Medicago truncatula: one gene and its partners. The protein of the gene in region 2 binds, or shares a complex with, the protein of the main gene of each other region. Links are inferred from orthologs where the notes say so. Each region holds a gene or a part of one and is shown on either strand. Other genes may lie near its edges.

Region 1 (7,618 bases), on a different chromosome or scaffold from region 2:
TCACACCTAATCTCCTATTTTCATGAACAATCCTAATGCTCTCTCCTAATCTTCTTATATATTAAAGTTAACAAGTAAGCCCTAATTTTAACCTAAACCCTGTTGCATAATTTTACTGTTTTAACCCTAATGTTCACACCTAATCTACTATTTTCATGAACAATATTCTTATATATTAAAGTTAACATGTAATCCCTAATTTAAACCTAAACCCTATTGCATAATTTTACTGTTTTAACCCTAATGTTCACACCTAATCTCCTATTTTCATGAACAATCCTAATGCTCTCTCCTAATCTTCTTATATATTAAAGTTAACAAGTAAGCCCTAATTTTAACCTAAACCCTATTGCATAATTTTACTGTTTTAACCCTAATGTTCACACCTAATCTCCTATTTTCATGAACAATCCTAATGCTCTCTCCTAATCTTCTTATATATTAAAGTTAACAAGTAAGCCCTAATTTTAACCTAAACCCTATTGCATAATTTTACTGTTTTAACCCTAATGTTCACACCTAATCTCCTATTTTCATGAACAATCCTAATGCTCTCTCCTAATCTTCTTATATATTAAAGTTAACATGTAAGCCCTAATTTTAACCTAAACCCTATTGCATAATTTTACTGTTTTAACCCTAATGTTCACACCTAATCTCCTATTTTCATGAACAATCCTAATGCTCTCTCCTAATCTTCTTATATATTAAAGTTAACAAGTAAGCCCTAATTTTAACCTAAACCCTATTGCATAATTTTACTGTTTTAACCCTAATGTTCACACCTAATCTCCTATTTTCATGAACAATCCTATTGCTCTCACCTAATCTTCGTATATATTAAAGGTAACCCGTAAGCCCTAATTTTAACCTAAATCCTATTGCATAATTTTACCGTTTTAACCCTAATGCTCTCACCTAATCTTATATTTTCATGAACAACCTAATGCTCACACCTAATCTCATATTTTCATGAGCCCCAATTTTAACCTAAACCCTGTTGCATAATTTTACCGTTTTAACCCTAATGCTCACACCTAATCTTATATTTTCATGAACAACCCTAATGCTACCTAATCTCATATTTTCATGAGCCCTAATTTTAACCTAAACCCTGTTGCATAATTTTACCGTTTTAACCCTAATGCTCACACCTAATCTTCTATTTTCATGAACAATGCTAATGCTCACACCTAATCTCCTATTATCATGAACAAAGCAAATCGGCATCGCTTTATTTCCCCTATTTCTTCAAAACAAATCGCCCTATTTCTTCAACAAAACAAATCGCCCTATTGGAATAAAAGGGTTTTGAAAGATTATAGCAACATTTTTTTTTGTTAATATTACACTTTTTATCCAAATTAGAACTGAACTCTCTTTGTTAAATATTTAACACAAAATGCACCTGAATTTCGCAATCTATATAAACAGGTGGAAGAAACATTTCAACAAACAGTTAAAGGGTATCATTTACGGTAAAAGCCAAATATTCGATAAAAGGAAAATTATTTAAATAAAACATTTTACATGTTGAGGTTAAGAATGAACTATTTTTAGGTACATAATATAACATTAACATATAATTTTTACAAAAGAATGAAGTAACATTTTTTCAAAAAAAAAAAAAGAAAAATATGAAGTAACATACCAATAATATAATATTGACATATAATTTTAACAAAAGAATGAAGTAATACACGATTGATAAAAATTAATATTTTTTTGGTGAATAAGCGTGGTGTCTGAGGTTCGAATTTCAACATCTGCATATATTTGGGACCACATATTTCATTCTCTTTGATATGCATTGAGATTTGTTTTTGTCTATTATATCTACAATGTATATGACCCGTGCGGCAGCACGGGTGGAAAGTCTAGTTTATCTTGAAATATGAAAAGTCAAATTTAATACACATACAAACAAAGGACAATTTAGTAATATTAACACACAAAATAGACACATTAATTGCCCTAACAATTTTTCTTAAGAAATGTGAAAAATGCAAAAAGTGCTTAGATATAGGGATGGAGGGAGTATGTTGATAGCATTTTTCAGCGTCAAAATATGTCAGCGTTGATTTGCACAATTTTTTTTTTTCGACAATAAAGTTTTCATAACTTAAAATTCAGCTAACCAATCCAAAAAGCCCAAACTAATATTTTCAAAAACTAGCCCAACCCAATTTCAAAATTAAAGAAACAATTTGGTTTACTGTTTCTCAAAAGTGATGTTGTATTGTACCCGTTTCACAATCCATTATTTTTCTACTCATTGTGATTTCACAAACCTTTGTATATGTGTTTGTCAAATATGCAATTTCTTCACAAATATCAATTTCTTCTTCAATTAAATTAATCAAAACATGATTCATCTCGCAAATCCAATTCAATCAAAATGTGATTCCTCTTTCAAACCCACTTTAGCATCTTCTTTCTTCACACTTTCAATACATGTTGTACCGTACAACTCTTCTCTTTCGTTTTTGTTGTTGTTTATGCATTGTGGATTTACAGACATATATATACATATATACATATATACATACATACATATATATATACACACACACACACACACACACAAACAATTTTATGTGTCGTTGTATTATATGTATCACGAAAAAAGAAGTAACATTTTACCATCCATCTATTTGCTGCGAAATATTTAGGTCAAGTAAAGTATTGCCTATTGTGATCAACTTAAACTTGGATGGAAGTTTGGGAAGTTGTCCCATTATTTATATTTATTTAAATAATTAAGAACCCAGAGTTAAGACAAGGTTGTAAAATTGTGTGGCATCGAACCCTTCAAGTTATTGTTAGCAAGAGTTAAATTAACTAAACTTCTTAACTTGGAACTCACGAGGGAGATAGTTCAATCGCAAATTCCCAAGATTAACACACAATATTTTCTCTCCCACCCCTAATCATTATCTTGCAAGAACAAACATTATTCGAAAAATCCAAGTCCTACATCGGATAGATAAGACTATTGAGAAGAGTTTATAAAGAGGAGGCAATCCTCACCTTACAAGCCGGTTTTGTAAGGATGAGTTAGACCCCGAATTTCAACATGATATTAGAGCTTGTCGAATTCAAGGGCCACCTACCTGTTCACACACCAAGCCCAAAGAGTGATGGACGTGAGAGTGGCGTGTTGGGAAAAACACAAGTCCCGCATAAGATAGATAAGACTCTTGATAAGACAAACATACTTAACAACTTAAAAGTTTAATTTTTAATTGGCCTTAACACCCTTGTGAAACACGTGTATTAGTTGTCAAAGAAAATTGTTGTTCAAAGAGATATTATTTAAGAAAGTGAGAGCGAACAATGAATGTGGAATCAAACTAAATAACATATTTGAATAAAACTACAATATCAAACAAATAAGTACAATTGAACGGATATGAAATTTGATTCGTGAGACAGATGTTGTTTGTTAACCCACTCCTGAGACAAGAACTTCATAAATTATATAACATCATGTGTACTTGTAAACCGCTTATCTCCTTATTAGTTATTGAGTTGTAAATACGTTACTTTATAATTCTCAAGAGACAAGGGAAATGTTCCACTCAAGTTGTTGTGAAAAAGAACAACCGTGTGCAGACACAAAATCGTTCGAACATTTTTTATGTTAATGAACATATGAGATTTGTAGCTTCGAAATCAAGGGCATGCAACAACGAGGAGTCTTGTAATTCCGTAGAAAATATTCATGGTAAGATATTCACGTATTGCAAGATTAAGGGTTCTCAAATCAAACACGACATCAAAGCAACCCTTTGAGACTGAGGTGAAGTTATTGTGACCAAAGTTCACAATTTGGTGCCAAAATTGATATTGATTTTAATCTTTATAAAGATGAAAACGCAATCATTCGCTCTGATAATTATCACAGGTTATATAACTTCGACAAAACATAAGCTATAAATGTAGCTTCGTCAACAAAGATGTATCAGTTCGAAAAACAATCCGCAATAAATTATCAAGTACATGCAAAACAATTAATATCACACTTTTAAATTAGTATTGTAACAATATTTTAGTACCAAATTGAACTTTAAAATTATCTCTTTGCAATTTTTATTTTCATTTTAAGTATCGTAATATTATATAACAATTACCTCCGCATCGTTGCATGTAACCAAAAATTAATTATATCAAAATCAATTTTATCAAAGTCAATTATGTCAAAATCAATTATGATCACATTAGAAACAAACACACACCCTTCTCTGAAAGAAAACTAATCATCGAGTCCAGAGTTTCTACCAAAATTTTCATTGTTTCGACGATATTAAATATTCTTTTTTTAGTTTCTTATACGTTCCCTCCATAAAATTAACCCTACTTTCAACCGGTCCTCGACTCCTCGTGAATACTCTTCTCGGTTGATATTATTTCTCTCATGATAAATTCCAACTCCTTTCGTATAGACTCAATGTGACACGGTCAACTAAGTTAGTCATTTTGAGACGGAGGAAGTAGTATATAAACGGGTCTTTCACATCACTACGAGAGTGCTTTCACCATCACTCAACACAAACCTCTCCTCTCACCGCTCAAAATCTCTTTCAACGTGTTCTTAAATTCCTCCACCGAAACCCAAAATCTCTTTCAATGCGTTCTTAAATTCCTCCACCGAAACCCTAAACCTAAAACCCTTTCAATTTCCCCCTAATCGAATCGATCTTCCCATCGAAAACCCTAATTCCTTGATCATTCTCGACCATGGACATTGAACAGAGACAATCGGAACTCATCGATCAATTCGTCAAGCAGGCCTCTGCTGCTTCCAACACTTCCGCTATCTCTTCCGTCATTGTCGATGCTACTTCTCACCCTTTGCTCTTCGCTTTCTCTGAGATTCTCGCTCTCCCCAATGTTCTTCAGGTTCCCCCTTTTTTCTGATTTTTTGTTGTTGTGATTTTTCGATTGTTTTGTTCATCTATGTGAGTGTTAGTTGATTGCAAAACGAGATGTAAATTTTTTTTTTCCTTTCGTTTTTCTTTTTTTTTTTAATCATAAATTGTTCCATGTTGTTTGCGTTCATTGTGATTATTGTGAATGAGTTAGTGTTTTTAGGTGGATTATTTTGCTAAGTTGTTTATGTTTCGAAATAAATTATGGGGTGATAAGAACTCATGAAGTACAGACACGAACACTGACACGTCTGAAAGATACCTTGACATCAATAAAATTTTGAGAAAATGACATAATTCAACAATCCCCTATGTTGTTGTCCCAGTATTGAAAAATTGCTAATAAATATGCGATTAGTTTCGATATGTCTGCCATAACTTTTTTGAATCTGGTTTTTGCAGCTTGAAGCAACTGATGAAAAATTCTACCTTGATCTGCTTCGCCTGTTTGCACATGGAATATGGAGTGACTACAAGAGTAAGTAGATTGATTGATCTTTCTGTTTATCTTAATCTCCTTGCATTTTTGTCTGGTGGGTGTTCTGTGGTCTTTGTTGAATTTTTTCCTTTTCCGGTAGTTTGCTGTTACTTTAAACAAATGTTGTAGGAATTGTCCTTTAGTGTACCATGTAGGGGTGGGAATAGGCCAGGCCAGGCCAGGCTTTGATAGGCCTGAACCTGGCCTACGAAAAAATTTACAAGCCTAAGCCTAGCCTGTGGCCTATTATAAGCCGTTTTTCTTGGCCTGGCCTGACCTATTTAAAAGCCTGGACTGGCCTGAAAGCCTATTTACAGGCCTACTTCATATTAAGGTCATCAAATAGTTCATTTGGCCTACTAAATAAACTAAACATGCCTTAAAGCCTACTTAAAAGCCTATTTAACAACAAGTAAATTTTAACTGGATTAAAGCCTACTTAAAAGCCTATAACAACAAAGCCTATTTAGGGACTAATAGATAGAGAAAAAGATGTTTATATTTTTAATGTATGCAATTATTTTAATATAAAAAATAATTTTTAATAAATACGTATTAATAGGCCGGCCTATTAGACTTAACAGGCTTTTCTGGAAGTCTAAGCCTGACCTATTTAACTAAACAGGCTTTTTAAAAAGCCTAAGCCTAGCCTATCTACTAAACAGGCCAGGCTAGGCCAGGCCGTAGGCCCCTGTAGGCCAACCTGGCCTATTCCCAACCCTAGTACCATGACAATGGTTGGTGATTTGTGATTTTTGAGTTTATTCTTAATTTGATTCCCGGATATTTATGTCACGAGATAGTAAGTTGTTACTTTTGTAAAGATTGCCATAACAGATGATGTATAATTAACAAGTAATTAGTTATTTCGTAAAAAAGTTTGGTTCTGTACACGTGGACTTTATGTCATGAGATAGTAAGTTGTTACTTTGTAATGATTGCAAAAAGTTATGGTTACTATGTCGGACATACTGTACATGTGGACTTCTATATGCATGCTCAATGTATGTAAGATCGGGAATCACTACATAGGATCGTGTGATCTTGCGTTTCAATGTGAGTGGGACCGGGGAAATGCCGTAAGACCGTTGCAAAATTTCCCCCAATATGGGCCGGGTTTTAGCAAAACCCCATCTTCTTTAATTGTAATGGATCCGGGTCAGTTTTTGGTAAAACTCAGGTTTTCAATGGTGAAAAAAGGGAGAAATAGAAACGTTTTCTTTTTCTTGCTCGCGCAAGTCCTCTGTTGTGAGGGATAACATCAAAACCTCTTCCTTCTCCCATTCTCTCGCCTTCCGCCACCTCTGAAAACCTCTTCCCTTCATTCCCTTGTTTTTGTGAATTGGGTGTGGTTCCTCTATTTCTTGCTGAGTTGGGTGTGGTTCCTCTGTTTGTTGTCACCTGTTCCCTTGTGTTAATGATTTCATTTTGTTAGGAGCCAATTTTAAACTTAGTTATTTATTAAGTTATGAACTTATGGTTACAAGTCTGTGGAAGGACGGGCATCTTTTCTTAATTTAATATAATTTTTAATTTTATGTACGTGTGTGTGTATCTTTTTCCCCTATTAGTAGGATCTTATGATCCGTTCTACGTTCTTTCAACCCCCTCTCGATCTTGTTCAAACTCTCAATTTTGAAAACACTGTGCATGCCAGCATAGGAGCATATTTTACATTTTGGGATTGCTTAATAATGCGTCGGACTATTTTGAACCTCGCCACACGTGTCTTGAGATGAAAGAATTCACTCCACTTTATTTTCTGCTTTGTAAATACCAGCAGTGAGATTTGTATATTAATCTTCATTCATGATTTTCTATTTTTTCGTTGCGTCTGTTTTTTAAATCTTTTATCATTTACGTGTAAATGGAAATAATATAATGGCGTTCATTAAAACGTTCGAGTGACTTATAGGTAATGCTGATCGCCTTCCACAATTGGTACCTGATCAGATCCTCAAGCTTAAGCAACTTACAGTTCTGACACTCGCTGAGACCTACAAGGTATTTCCTATCAGTCCAAAGTTATAGGAACATATTTAAGGGTTGTTTAAGGGTTTGGTTTTCTGTTATTTGGAACATTTTTTCTCCTCCCTAGTTTTCTATCATCAAATGTCTTTTTTTTTTTCTTCTTCTTTCCATCAAAGGTGGATAAGAAAACCAAATCTTCCCTTGAATATATTTTTTGATTTTGTATTGGATTCTTTCA
Region 2 (7,121 bases):
GTTGTGACTGATTTTATTGACGGTGACAAACAAACTGTTGAAGAATTCCGGCAAAATTTGACTGGTGTAACCTCTGCACTTGATCTGGTTGTCGAACAGGTCATTAATTTTATCAACGGGAAGTGCATATCTGTACTTTGGCTACCTAATTCCATCTTTTCCCATTGTTTTTGTATGCAACGCTCTAAAATTGTACACTACCAGTTGATTGGAAATATGTGAGATTTAAGCAAAAACAAAAGCTTGTAAAAAAAAAAACCTGGATAAGGTGGGGTTATTTGGGTTTCTTAAGGATGCATAAGAGGTAACATACGTTGATTAGAGGGATGAGATAAACTACAATATGAAATTCAATTTTTTAGATTTGAATTTTAATTTGAGCGGTGTAACACCCTAATTCTATTAAAGCAATTAAACATGCGAATAATTCATATATTCAAGAAATGGATGCTACTTCACCAAATCAAAGAAAAACAAAATCGAATCAACGGTTGACATGCATGTATATAAAACCTCATCAGTCGCAGCGGATACAAAATCATATACATCAAGCATACATGTCACATGATCTCAAAAATGCATAAGCATGAAATCTCCAAGTCCGACACATGGACAAAATCTCAAAATATAAAAATAATCCAAAAAGATCTAGAGCTAACAACAAAACCCTATATCAGAGTCAACTCTACTCTAAGACCTGATAGCGGAGAAAGCTCCCACTATCCACCAATATCAGGAACTCACCAAGCTACTAGTCCTGCACAACGTCTACTCACCCATACAGACAAGTAGGCGGTTAAAACCACTGGGGTGAGTATTACATCAACATAATCAATAATACAGATAAGCAGGAATAACATAATCCAATATCATGTAATGAATCAAAATAGATAAATTCCATACATACATTATCACCGCAATCCAAGTTTCACCGACATATATTCAACGAACACATCATCATCAATAATCATCATTCACAATTCCACCAATTCCATGAGTTCATCAATTCACATGATTAATCATAACATGACATAACAATCCATTAAATACGAACATCACCATCAATCACGTACAACCACAAGTACATCAAGTAATTCACAACTAGGACTCATGTCACCTCATGATATGATCATAGACACAACACCTATATACATGCGGTATCGGTCATCACCAATATTTTAGGTCGTCGTCCATCATCACCAAAATCATCACCAATTGGATATATATATATATATATATAAACATATCCGTCATCACCAAATATGCATGCATGAACATATGACTCGATAATAATGCATATGTCCACACAACAACTCACCAAATCATCACCAATATTTATTTGCATTTATGCAATCACACCAATAATTCATCACCAATACATAATCAATACCATATCATCTCATCATTACAATATTTCTCATATATCAAGTAACAGAACATACAACACCTCATGTTATTATCATATCTAACATATCATAATTCATCCATACATCTCCATTTTCAAAGTATAACCAAGTAAAGTTCAAAGGAACTAATCTCATCCATTCCCGGAAATTCAATAATCATTAAACAACATTAATCTCATTCCATTTCTTAAGAAAAATCACATTCCGGAAAAATCGGCATTCTAAGTAATTTTCCAAATTAAGTCCCAATTTCACAAACCAAGTTTCAAATACTCTAAAACCCTTAATTGAACTTATAATAAACATACTTTGAAGTTTGGAAGCCATCCATAAGGTTTGGGTTGACTTAGAAACAATTGTGCGGAATTTTCGTAAAGTTTTATCAAAACCTCCTTAGAGTATTTTCTTCATAACTCAAAAACAACACATTATTTTCAAGTCAAACCAAGGCCTATGGAATGCCAACTCAATTGTCTAAAACTTTCATGTTAAAGTCAAAAGCCAAAACAAAACGGAAACGAGTGAAAACGACGCAAAACGCGAAAACATGGGATGCTGGAACTGGGCAATTTCGCCTGGCGGAAAGATTGCTCGCCATGGCGAGTGAAGGCAGTAGCTGCTCGCCACTAGCTCGCCTGGCGGAAGTGCACAGTTCAGAAAAATTCAGTTTTACGGGAAAAATTCATTTTCACCCTAAAATCCCAATTTTCGACTTCCCATTACCCAAATTCGATTCCAAAGTGTATCCAAACGTTTCTCAACATGAAAAGACACTCAATTACATATAACTACTTGAATCAAACATCATTTTAAACAAAATCACCATTTGACCCATTTTTGCAAAACAACCAACAACATCTTATTTCTTACCAACAATCATGATATATGAACACCCAAGCCATAATCATAAACAACAACATGTCTCAGCAACAACAACATCAATTAAAACTTGATTCTCACCTCAATTCCACAACAACATGTCATAATTCATCAATTAAGCATAATTTCACAACTACCCATTTTCATACATTATGAACATGTTATTTCATCACCAACAATTCATTTATCAATCAATTAACATACTCAAACTTATCACCAAAACAAGAGCACGAAATTCAAAGATTGGGTTCATATAAATTCTCACTCAATTAAGCACTTTTTCATACAAACCAAGAAAATTGCAAACAAAACAATCATGATTATGATGAAGACTAACCCCCTTACCTTAGGTAATGATTAATCCAAACTTGGGCTTCATTTTAGCTCCTAATTCTTCAATCTTCAAGTTTCCCCCTTTCTCTAACCCTTGTTCTTCCTTTCTCCCACTTTCTCTCTCTAACTTTGTGAAATGAAATGAATGAATGAATTTCTCTCCAAGTTTTAGGTCTAGGTATGCTCTATCTCAATTGGGCTCAAATCTAGACCCTAATGGGCTTAACCCATTCTAACATAATTCTAAAAAGTTTCTATACACTCAACGATAATTACTAACAACGGTAAAATATAACCAACGGTCACTAAACGGTAAAAACTAATCACTACACTAGTAACTTAGTAAAATAATGGTTCTCACTAAACATTAAAAATAATTCTCACCAAAATGACCATTTTACCCTTACCCGCAAAATGGCCAAGATACCCTTCTAATACGTTAATCCATGAAAATGCACCCAATGCCAATTAAATACACACAAGCACAAATAATCACATAATAATTAATTAAAAATAAATCTAGCGAAAAATCGGGCTGTTACAAGCGGATCTGAAGATGGAGTTTTGGTATTTGGGTGGAAGCATAAGAGAGATAAGCGAACCTGGAGATGAACGAATCTGAGGATGCATAAGAAATATGTGGTATTTGATGTTTTTTTGGGTATGAGTTTTATTATATAGGTTGAAGATAAAAACAATGAAGAATCTTAAAAAAAAAAAACTAAAGGAAGAAGATGAATATTTTTGGGTTATTGGTTTTGTTTTTGTTTTAATTTATGAAATATTTTAATTATTTTCTAATTAATAAAATTTGATTTGATGATATGTTAATGTCATTTTCCATGGTAGAAATGCCACCTAAGTGTAGAAATGCCACCTAAGTGCTTTTTTGGCCACATCATTAAAAACATGACACATCAGCGTTTTTGAAGGCTAATTTGGGGGTTAGGACTAAAATTACAAAAAATGTGATAATATAGAAACTGCTTTGCTCGATTTGAAAAGGCAGGACCAGTTTCGCGAGTTGGTCAAAATGCGAGGACTAAAAGTGCTATTAAACCAACATATTATAACATGATATATGATGACTAAATATAGCAAGTGCACCAAACCGTATTCATCAAGTATATTTCTAACATTTATTTCCAACAATTTACTTCGAGAGGGCAACCATTGCGCATATTTCTTGGTCATGCTTGGACGCTCTTTAAGATCAGGTGTGACTTTTTGGCAGACCCCGCATCAGAGTTGAAGTCAGTGTTGAGTTGAGGCTTGATGCCCCATGCTGAGCCCGATTTTTATGGTTTTTTCTTTTCTACTTTTTCTTTTGTCATGCTAAAAAAAATTATTTTCAAGTAATGAAGTGATAAGTAAGATCGGAGACAAAACAAGAAATTTGAGAGGCCATAATAGCACATGCTTCAAAACTTTGGGCTTAATTTATTCGACAAACCAAACCCAATAAAAAATCAAGTATCGAGAAACATTGGCAAAAACACGGTGGTGGTGAAAAATAAGAAGAGGGTTCATTCGAATTCTAATTTCTATAGTAGAAGCGATTCTATTTCACGCAACGGAGGAGTGAGAAATCACAATCTCCACCAACGCAAACGAAAACACTCCAAAACCCTTCAACTCCGTTAGGTAAACTTCTCCGTCAAATTTCACTCTATTCGTTGATTTTTCTTCTCTTTAGTGCTTAGTTCTTATGAATTTTGTGGAAATTTTGAAGAAATTGTAATTTTCGTTGCTTATTTTTGAAATTTAGGGTTTATTAACCGATTTTGTTGCGTTTTTTTGTTGAATGTTGATGTGAAACAGTGATGGAGGGTGCTTTTGCAAGCGCTTCAGCGATTACAGACCAAAGACAGAAGATAGAGCAGTATAAACAAATTCTCTCTGCTGTCATTTCATCAAATGACATTCTTCATGCTAGGAAATTCATCGATCACAGTTAATAATTCTCTTTTTCCTCAACCTAGGGTTTTTTCATTTATTTTTTAATTTTAATATTTTTTTAGTCTTTTAGTAGGTTTTAAATATAATTTTAGTCCTTGCAATTGTAATGTTTTTTTGGTTTTGGTCCCTGACGTCTTATTGGGTCACATACCGTGACTTTATTGCGTCATGTTTGACGTCATAGACTAAGAACAACAAATTTTGAATTTGCAAGGACTAAACCTGACATCAACTTATTGGCCACGTGGCATGATTACCGGTTATGGCGTGACTTTATTCGGAAAAGACTAATCATATTTAAACCTATTTTCCTTAGGTTTTTTTTTTATATTAATATATGAGGTTGTTGAAAGTTTGAATTTTGTGTTTCAGTGTTATCGGATGATGTTCCTTTAGTAGTGTCGCGTCAGCTTCTACAGAGTTTTGCTGAAGAGTTGGGAAGGTTGGCACCTGAGACACAGAAAGAGATTGCTCATTACATACTTGCTCAGATTCAGCCTCGAGTTGTGTCGTTTGAAGAACAGGTTTAAATTTTGTCTATTCTGTTTTGCGGCTAAATGATTGTAATGTTTTGTTTTGGTAAATAGGAGAAGTTAACTTGAATGCTGCTTTCTTAACCATGGTAGGAAATATATAACAACGAGAGAGAAAAAAAAAAACTAAGATGAAACACAATTCAACATTAGGCGTAGATATCATATGATATAGACATAGGGATATAGCAGAATTTGAAAACTATGGGCCATGCGGTATGACACAGCCATAACTATAATACGACAAATAAATTAGATATAATATTAAAACTTACATCTTAAGAAAGCATGAAATTTTGTGAACGTGATAAACCGTTCCCATTTATTTTGTAGTTAAAATGGAAGTGACAAAATTGTAAAAGCCACTAACTGTTCTAAGTGTCAGAAGTTTGTTAAAAGAATGCATGTCCGGCTCTGATTTGGGTTATTGGTTAGCATGCACATGGATGCAATTTTGAAGCGCGTGTGCTTTCTTACATCTCAGTTTGATAATAGTTAATTGAGCAATTATTTTAACTTCATAGGTATTTATTACTTATTTGGGGGATTAAATTCTCCTATACAAATAATATGCTGGCTTTTTAGTCGATAGCTGCCTCTATAGCAGTGTTGCACATCAGCTCTCAGGCGACATGTGAAACTCTGTTGCATTGCATTTGAGTAGTGGCTGTAGCGTCCGCTACTACAATTAAGCTCACGTGAAAACCCGAATATCACCTTAACTTATTGCTGTCTGTTCAGTTTTATTTTTTAGAATTTTTGGTCATTTCACCCGAAAAGTTATTCTCTTTTGGATTTGAATATTGGTAACGATAAACTTTGATTATTAGTTATGACTTATGAATATACATTTAATTTTGCGTGTACTATTTATGAGCTTTTATATGTGTATGATACTGTGTTATAAATTTCTTGTACTGCATCTCTAAAGTCTAAGCTTTGACGTCAGTGTTATACCTTTACCCACCATATAACGGTAGCGTTGTTGGTGTCGGCTGCAATCCGCCATTGAATACATAGTATTTCCGACACTATTATCATGGTATTTGATAGGACGGTATAAATTGTGGAAAGGTGGAAGTGTGAAAGAAAATACAATTGCAAATTTTGTTGTATTCCGAGACTTCATCTAAAAAGTATTTTTGTTACTATGTCAAGCATTAGGGTTTTCTATGCGTAGAGATGTTGATTGAAAAAGTATTCAGATCTCTCATCACATTATGTATCTTCGTTTAAATCAATAATGGAATTCTTGTCTAAGTATGCATTTTTCCATGCTGATTGTCACTTGTTGTTTTGTTATAAGGTTTTGGTTATTAGAGAGAAATTGGCTGAGCTTTATGAATCTGAGGAGCAATGGTCAAAAGCTGCCCAGATGCTCAGTGGTATTGACCTAGATTCAGGAATGAGGTCTCAGAGTTTCCAACCATATTTACCTGTTTGCCTAAATTATTATAAATCTGCCAAAATTTGAAAATGTCTCTTTCTTATTATTAATTTTATTTTGATTTTTTTTATCAGGGTAATTGATGATACATTCAGGTTATCAAAGTGTGTTCAAATTGCTTGTTTATACCTTGAGGTATTTACTTTATTTTGTGCAAGGAAATCCATATTTGATTGATGTCGGTTCTTAGACCATATTGGGAGATATAACTTGCCACAATGTCTAAATTGAATCACGTATACTGGTTCCACATCTTTAATATGAATATAATTTTATATCTGAAATGGTAACTTTTCACATGTCACGTACAAAATTATTGGTTTTAATTTCAGAATCATAAAGGTTATTTGAAATAATATTTTTCGTATTTGCCAGGATGACGATGCTGTAAATGCTGAAGCTTTCATTAATAAAGCATCATTCTTGGTTAGCAATAGCCAGCATGAAGTATTGAATTTGAAGTACAAGGTTTGAAAATGACAGCTTCTGAAGGGTGACTGAAGTTAAATATGCATAAATGAACCTTATCTTGCCTGTTTATCCTTGTATTCTATTTTTTTTTTT
Region 3 (7,534 bases), on a different chromosome or scaffold from region 2:
AAAGCATCACTTCGGCCAACCCTTTTCACAGCCCCACTATTTGCCTCAATATATATAACATCCCTGACAGCTACCTGTATCAAAGCTGTAGAATGTTTGACACCAATATTTGTATAGATTTAAAATGACCTTTGAAAAAGAGAAAAGAATAACCTTTTCCTTGATCAAGGCATCATATATGGTGGGGTCCAACTTTAGTTGCTTGGTTCCTTTGACTGTCTTCAATCCAATTATCACATGGCTGATACTTTTACCATAATCTTCAGTTATACTCTCAGTTTCTTCAGGAGAGAGCTCGGTGACCTCGCCTTCATATACTTCCTTATTTTCCTTAATACGAAGACCGATAGCACGTCGAAAATTTTCCATAAGAACCCCGTTGAGTATACTTCGGAACCAACCATTGGGCAGAATGGAACCTTGGTCCCAAGCTCCTGACATATCCCAAGTGCTAATGCAGTCTTTCCGGTTCCCGGGGGCCCAGCGAGAAGGAGTGCCTTGCCAGCCATCTTCTTCTGGCGTATCATGTCGACCACAAGGCCACACGCTTCTCTTGCCTCAGCTTGTCCCACAAACCCAGAAGCAAAAGGCAATGCTTTTCCACTCACCTGAACAATGACCAAACCTTTGAGCATAGCAAGAAATAAGCAAAAGGGTATGGCTTCACACACAACAAACACAAAACGGAGAAAATAACTTATTAAATTGAGGAAGAGAAGAGAACGAACCTCAAGACCTAGGCCTTTAATGTGAGTGTGAGTAGCAACACGCTGTTTCTTTGTTGTCGACTGAACCTCTTCAATTTTCATCTTTGTAGTCAATCTTGGATAGCGGGATAGCCGTATGACAAATAGCGGTCACTGATATTTGATTATTTTTTTAACAAATTACATTAAACAAACTTGTATATAATTTTGACATGCATGGGGAGAGAGATTGAAGGGAGAAGAACATGACACAGATTGAGAATGAGAAGCAAAGCGGCAGCAATGTATATGAGGAAGAGGAAATGAAATAAGGCTAGGGTTTGAGTGTATATCACTTACAAATTGGACTAGGTATAATCCGAAAATGTCGTATAAAAAAGAGGGAAAAAAGGTGGACACACAACCAAAAATTATGTGCAGAAAGTGGCTAGGGTCCTATGTTTTAAGACTTCATAAAAATTGAGTGGGAGGTAGAAGTCAGTTTCTAGCATAATTAGCATGAAATGTAACAAAACTATGAATGCAATTAGAATCGGGGGACAATTCAACGTGAATATGCTTTTGATTAAAAAATAGGTCGGACGAACCTATTTTTTTTGTCCCTCTATTGCACAAAGTAATTCAAAATTTCATAGGATAGTTTGCCTATGATGGAAAATATTTAGGACTAAAACTTGATAAAAAATTTAGAGGAAATAAAAAGCAAAATTTGAAAATTGTATAAGGACAAAAAACTTATTTAACCCTAAATTAGAAAAGGTAAAAAGAAAAGGAAGGAATGTATGTCTCATGGTAAGTCCCAAATGGTAAAGGCGACGACGCCGCTCCACAAGGCAATAAAATATGAGACAACTCCAATGGAGATGCCACCAGTTACGATGGTGACATCAACACCAGATGCATTTGTTTATGACGATTACATGAGAATTATGCAAACAAGAAATACTTGCGTACAAAACGAATAATAACATGACAATCATTAACTTTTTAATAAAAATGTAAAATTAATATAATGAAAATCGGTTCTAATCTTATTTCTCTTGGTCACTTTGATAAAATCATTGTTTGCAATCAAGTCATGCGCTGACTACCAAACAACCCTTCTATCAACCCCCCTGGGAATCAATAGAGTTTGATTGAACGATAATTTCGTAGGCAGAGCATAACTTGATGTGCAAACAATAATATTTTTTCAACGGTAAAGAGAAAAATAAGGAGAACCGATTTCATTATCTTAACTTTACATTTTTATTAAAAAAATAATTAATGACTATATGTTATTTTTCATTAGTTATAAAACCATAACATGTTCGTTTGTACACAAGTATCTCTCTCAATAACTTAGTACTAAGATGCATTGAAAATCTCTCGTCACTATTTATATATCCAAATTTCGTAAAATAAAAAATACATAGTTGCAAAGATATATTACAAGTTTTTGCTTTGCGAATAAGAATTGACATTCTCATTGATCATGAAAATCTCTAAAGTCTGAGATGTGAATTTTCTTCTATAATTATCACCACAAAAACAATTTGTAAATCACAACACTCAATTTTAAAAATTATTAAATTCTAAAAACAAAAAAAAATTGTAAACTAAATTAATGCAATAGCTCTCAATTATAATGAAATTTCTGCTCATAGCTTGAAACAAAAGACAAAGTATCACAAAGCAAATATAACAGAGACACTTGTATATTACACATAACAGAGACGCATCGATACCAGGGGTGGACCCAGACATTCTACATTGTTGTGGCTAAAATTTCATGATGCAGATTATACTAACAACAAGAATTAACATTGTTTGATGCAATACAATTACAATAAAAATCGTCTACTATCCATTTGTTGAAAATGAGCTAAATGAGCTAAAATAACATCAATGCTAATTGTGAAAAGAACATTTTTTCTATATAAGTTATAACTTATAAGACGGTCATTTAGCCACAATTGTACACAGAAGTCACAATGCTCAATAAGCAATTATCATGTACAAGCAATTTTTCCAAACTCTATAACAATGAACTTAATTCTTTTTTTTGAACAAATTATATTATTAATAAAAAAAAAAACATATGGCATTTGGCGGTAGCAAAAAAGCTATGGCATATTTCCATGCATTCAGAAAAGCTATTAACGATTCTCAATCTCCAATTCTAAAACCCTAAAAAGTTTCTCAATTCTCAATTCTAAAACCCTAAAACAAGACATTGGTGAAGGAATGAGAAACTAGAGAATCAATTGGATTACCTTGACGTAGAGTGAGTGAGAACTGCGAGAGAGATGGTTGGTTTGAAGGTGATGCTGAGAGTGGAGAAGAGAGAGGCCTTGACGGGGTTTGTTTCTTGTTGTGAGAGAGAAGAAATAAAATTGATGTGTGTTGTGTTCTGGGTTCTCAGCGTATACACGGTGGGCACTTGGCTGTATACGGTGGGTCCGTTCCTGATTTATACCAGTATAAATTGTTTTTTTTTTTGAGGGAGCAGTATAAATGTTAACAATGTGAACATTTAATAGCGTCATCGTGAGTTTAAGAGTTGACACAGACAACACAGGATAATATACGTGAGGTTTAAACCTCAGCGGAAAAAAAAAATCTTTAATAGTAAATTTTTTATCTGTGGCAAAAAAAAAAACCTATAATAGTAAGTTTTTATTAAAATATGTGTGATCAATGTATTCACATGCATTCACTTATTAATAAGATCCTAATTAAAAAAATTAAGTTCCTTGGGCTCTAGTGATAAAGAGCTTATTCGAAGAACGTACCCGGGAATATCGGGTTCGATTCCTAGGAGAACAATATTTGACCAATGCACATGCCTCTACGCATTAGCCGAATTAGTCGTCCACCTTTGGTGGGTTGGAAACCGGTGCGAAAACCAAAAAAAAAAAATCCTAATTAAAAAAGGAAAATGATATCTTGGCTCATAATACATAGATTTAAAGCCAAATGTCGAAACTTAATTTTGAAAATTGTGCATTTAATGTCTTTTTTTAATCCTTAACTTGTGCCCTTAGGGCATAAGTTAGTATGACCCAATAAAAATATACATTAGGACATACATTCTTTAGAAGGTTAAATATGTTTTTGATCCCTATAAATATCTCAATTTTTTTTTCGTTTTAATCCCTATAAGAAATTTCTTCAACTTTTAATCCTTATTTTTAAGTTAATTTTTGTATTTTTTAATGACATTTTGCATAAATGTGTAGGAAATTGTAAAAATCTTTCCAAAAAAAATTAGAATTTTTTAACAAAATATAAATCATATATGAAAAATGTTAATATCAACATTAAAAGATTATTTTGACTAACAAAAATATACGATCAAAAACTATTAAAAATTTTGATGCATTACTTGTTCTTTATTTCAGGAACCAAAATTACTAGTAATCGGTAAATTTCATACGTATCACACACTCTTTCATAAAAAAAAATATATATCACACATAATAAAAGAATAGGTTAAATTGCACTCTTCGCCTCCTAAGTTTTAAAATGTTGCGATTTTGGCTCACTATTAAAAAAATTGCAAAAGTGACCCATATTTAAGGAAATATAATCTTTTGACCCTTTAACATAGGGGAAATATGATCTTTTGACTCCTTATCTTTTAAAAAGTTACGATTATAACCCCTATCTTGGAACACACGATATCTTCTCAATAATTTTGGGACGAAAGGAGTCTAAAAATTGCCATTTTTTTATCTTTGTTTTGACAAAAAATATTGCTATTTTTTTAGAAAAATGCAGTATAACTTCAAAAATAAAAATCCTTTTCACACAGGCACACATAAACCAACACATATATAAAACCTCCCATCTTTCCTCCTTCAAAACCCACTCACTCGTTACTCGTCGAATCAACTCGACTCAGAACTCAGAACCCTAATCATCACCGCCATGGATCCTCTCGAACCATTGATCGCACAAATCCAAGGTCTATCAAGCTCCTCCGCCGACATCGCTCGTCTTCATACCATCTTGAAACACTCCGATGAAACTCTCCGTTCCGATTCATCTCGTCTCTATCCAATTCTTCAACTCATTGATCCTTCCATTCATTCTCTCGGTTTTCTCTATCTTCTGTACGTATCACAATAATCTTATTCTTTCTTATAATCGCTTTTTAATTACTAGATTTTAGCTTCTTTTTTTGTTATTGTTGATTGAATGTTTAAACCCCATTCCTGGACTCTTAAGCCAAATATTCACTTTTATTTTGATGTTATTTTTTTATTTGAATTTATTACCAATCTATGAAGTACACACTGGATACGACCCTGACACGTTGACATGGATTCGACACTGACTGTAAAAGTGACTTAATTGAATATAATTACATGCGTCAGTGGTGTCGGACACCAGACATGCCTTCCATCGGAAATGTCGGTGCTACATAGTTCTCAATTTCTATTACCTTCTAATATTGCCATGACCTGTTTGGATGAATAAACAACTGAATGTCATATATAACACCACACTATACTGATACGACATTGAAACATACGATTACATTCAATTATGTCATTTTCTCAAATTATTTTGGGTATCAAAGTGTTAGTATCGAGTCCGGTGTCTGTGCTTCGTAAGTAAGCAATCCTTACTTTGCCTTCATTTTTTTATAATAGCAGAATAGAATCTCTTTTTTAATATATCTATATATTCTTAGATTTTAGGTATTGTTGTTGTTGTTGATTTAATGTTAAAACCCTAGTTTCTGGACTCTATAGAGTTTTTTTTTTTAATATTCAGCAGGTTGTTATTATTTGTTTAGAATTTAGACCCAATTAGATTAGCTTCTAGCTATGAAGCCACTAACGTGTACACCTCAGACGACACTAACACGTCAACACCGGTGATAATTTGTGTAAATGGCATAATTGATTCTAATCACATGTGTTAGTGTTGGACACCAACATGTGTTGCACACCGGACACGCCTCCAATATAGCTTATGAAAACATCTTTTAGAATATACAAAAACAATTCAACTTTATTTTATCTTTTGCTATAAAAATAGCTTATGTAGCTTATGCTTAAGCGCTTATCATGATAAGCGCTAAGGCTAAGCTGCAAATATGTTGTTTATCCAAACAGGCCCTTAGTCCTAATTTTTATTGGCTTCTAGTAAATGGCATTGTTTAGATAAACATCTTAATTAAGCAATTATAACATAAAACTTGTCATATAAATGCTTATGTATGAGTTATTTCTATAAAATAAAGATAAATTGTTTCCATATAAGGTATATGTGGTTTTCATAAGCTTAGCTTATGGAAATAAGATGAAAACAGCTAGCTTATATACATGTCATTATTGTTGTTGGATTAAATGTTAAACCCTAGTTGATGGACTCTAGAACCAAATATTCACTTTTTTGCTTAGGTGGTAATTATTTCCTTTGAATTTAGTCCCAATTTGGATAAACAACTTAATTATGCGCTTATAGCTTAAACAGTTATCATATAAAAATGCTTATGTATTAGCTATTTCTTTTACAAAAAATAAGATAAAACCGAATTGCTTTTATATAAGGTATAAGCTGTTTTCATGAATTGTCTTGGAGAGCTTATGGAGTAAGTTGAAAATAGCTTATGCATATGTTATAAGTTGTTTTCATAAGCTCTTTGAAACAGTCTAACAAGTGGTTATGTCAATAGGTAAACTTAAATAAGTCAATCAAACAGACATTTAGTATATAAGATTTGGATCATCTTAAGTGAGTTGAGAGTAAAGTAAGAAAATGAGCGCTTGTTATTTTAACACACTCGTAATTTGTGTTGCATGTGCATGTAATATGTAAAATTAACAATTGAATTCTTCATCAATGGTTGATATAATTACCTCAGACTCTAAATTGCTCACTTTAAAGGAGTTACATACTAGAATACAAGTGTTTCTGAATTGAAATAATCTGTAGTCTTTTATTTGTGATAAAGTATTGATAATCTATGAATCACATTTCACTGATACGTAGACACTGATCATAATTTGAGAAAAAGAAAGTGATTCAATGTAACCATATGCATCGGTGTCGTGCTGGTGTCGGACACCGGACATACCTTCATTATGAAGAGTGCTACAACTATAACTTTATAGGAGTGAATAGAGAAGCTAATTAAGGAACTTTCTGAAAAATTGAGATGCAGGGTAAAATTTGAACTTAGATAGGAGAAAGAAAAAGTTTTTTATTTTATTTTTATAACTGTTGATATATTTTTTTTCAGAAGTGCTTGCATTCGAGTTTATCTGAACTGTTCCTTAAATCTTGTTCACGTGCCTGTTTTGTTTGTTATGGAATAGTGAATTTATTTTTTCTGTTTTTATTTAATTGGAGACATACATTTATGGTTACAGAGATGCATTCTCAGCTGCTTCAGTTTCAAATCAGCAGCAAGCTGAAGAGGCAGTTCCGATCATAGCAAGATTCATCAATGCTTGCAGTGTGGAGCAGATTCGGTTGGCGCCAGAAAAATGTACTTGCTTTGTGTTGAAATATTGGGATTTCAATATTGCATTATTGAGCTTGTTTACTATTTACCCACAGAATAATGTTTCACCATCTTACCATAACATATACACCCTCCGGTCACTAATATAAGCAAAAAATTACATTTTAGATTCATTCATTTAATGATGTACATGGTCTTTATTATAGACCACATACATCATTAAATGAATGAACCTAAAATGTAGTTTTTTTGCTTATATTAGTGACCGGAGGGTGTACAAGTTTTAAGAACAAACAACTTGATGTGGAAAGATGCTGAAATATGGATGGATTATTTGTGAAAAATATGTTGTGAGTTGTGACGT

What was found.
Region 1: the proteins of COP9 signalosome complex subunit 4 (region 2) and COP9 signalosome complex subunit 7 are in contact, whole or in part, in a cryo-EM structure (PDB 9IS6), measured with the Arabidopsis thaliana proteins. The link is inferred for Medicago truncatula from reciprocal best matches to the Arabidopsis thaliana genes COP8 and FUS5. Residues at the interface, in NP_199111.1 of Arabidopsis thaliana: Glu269, Arg270, Ile271, Arg273, Ser310, Lys313, Leu314, Tyr315, Thr316, Asn317, Ile318, Arg319, Glu322, Thr325, Leu326, Val357, His359, Gln373, Asp383; in NP_563645.1 of Arabidopsis thaliana: Met1, Lys108, Val124, Arg125, Glu128, Asp129, Ile132, Asn133, Met136, Tyr137, Lys144, Leu145, Asp146, Gln147, Leu148, Pro155.
Region 3: COP9 signalosome complex subunit 4 (region 2) and COP9 signalosome complex subunit 3 share a complex: the UniProt entries of both Arabidopsis thaliana proteins name them as parts of the CSN complex. The link is inferred for Medicago truncatula from reciprocal best matches to the Arabidopsis thaliana genes COP8 and COP13.

Annotation. Positions count from the first base shown.
Region 1 is NC_053048.1:38,135,518-38,143,135, forward strand, and holds the start of COP9 signalosome complex subunit 7, read left to right. Parts: upstream 1-4,512; 5' UTR 4,513-4,740; coding exon 4,741-4,902; intron 4,903-5,333; coding exon 5,334-5,409; intron 5,410-7,324; coding exon 7,325-7,413; intron 7,414-7,618. UniProt on the Arabidopsis thaliana protein: Component of the COP9 signalosome complex (CSN), a complex involved in various cellular and developmental processes such as photomorphogenesis and auxin and jasmonate responses.
Region 2 is NC_053045.1:13,730,300-13,737,420, forward strand, and holds the start of COP9 signalosome complex subunit 4, read left to right. Parts: upstream 1-4,101; 5' UTR 4,102-4,262; intron 4,263-4,439; 5' UTR 4,440-4,441; coding exon 4,442-4,571; intron 4,572-4,949; coding exon 4,950-5,101; intron 5,102-6,416; coding exon 6,417-6,520; intron 6,521-6,631; coding exon 6,632-6,692; intron 6,693-6,932; coding exon 6,933-7,025; intron 7,026-7,121. UniProt on the Arabidopsis thaliana protein: Component of the COP9 signalosome complex (CSN), a complex involved in various cellular and developmental processes such as photomorphogenesis and auxin and jasmonate responses.
Region 3 is NC_053047.1:8,387,603-8,395,136, reverse strand, and holds the start of COP9 signalosome complex subunit 3, read left to right. Parts: upstream 1-4,500; 5' UTR 4,501-4,619; coding exon 4,620-4,804; intron 4,805-7,075; coding exon 7,076-7,194; intron 7,195-7,534. UniProt on the Arabidopsis thaliana protein: Component of the COP9 signalosome complex (CSN), a complex involved in various cellular and developmental processes such as photomorphogenesis and auxin and jasmonate responses.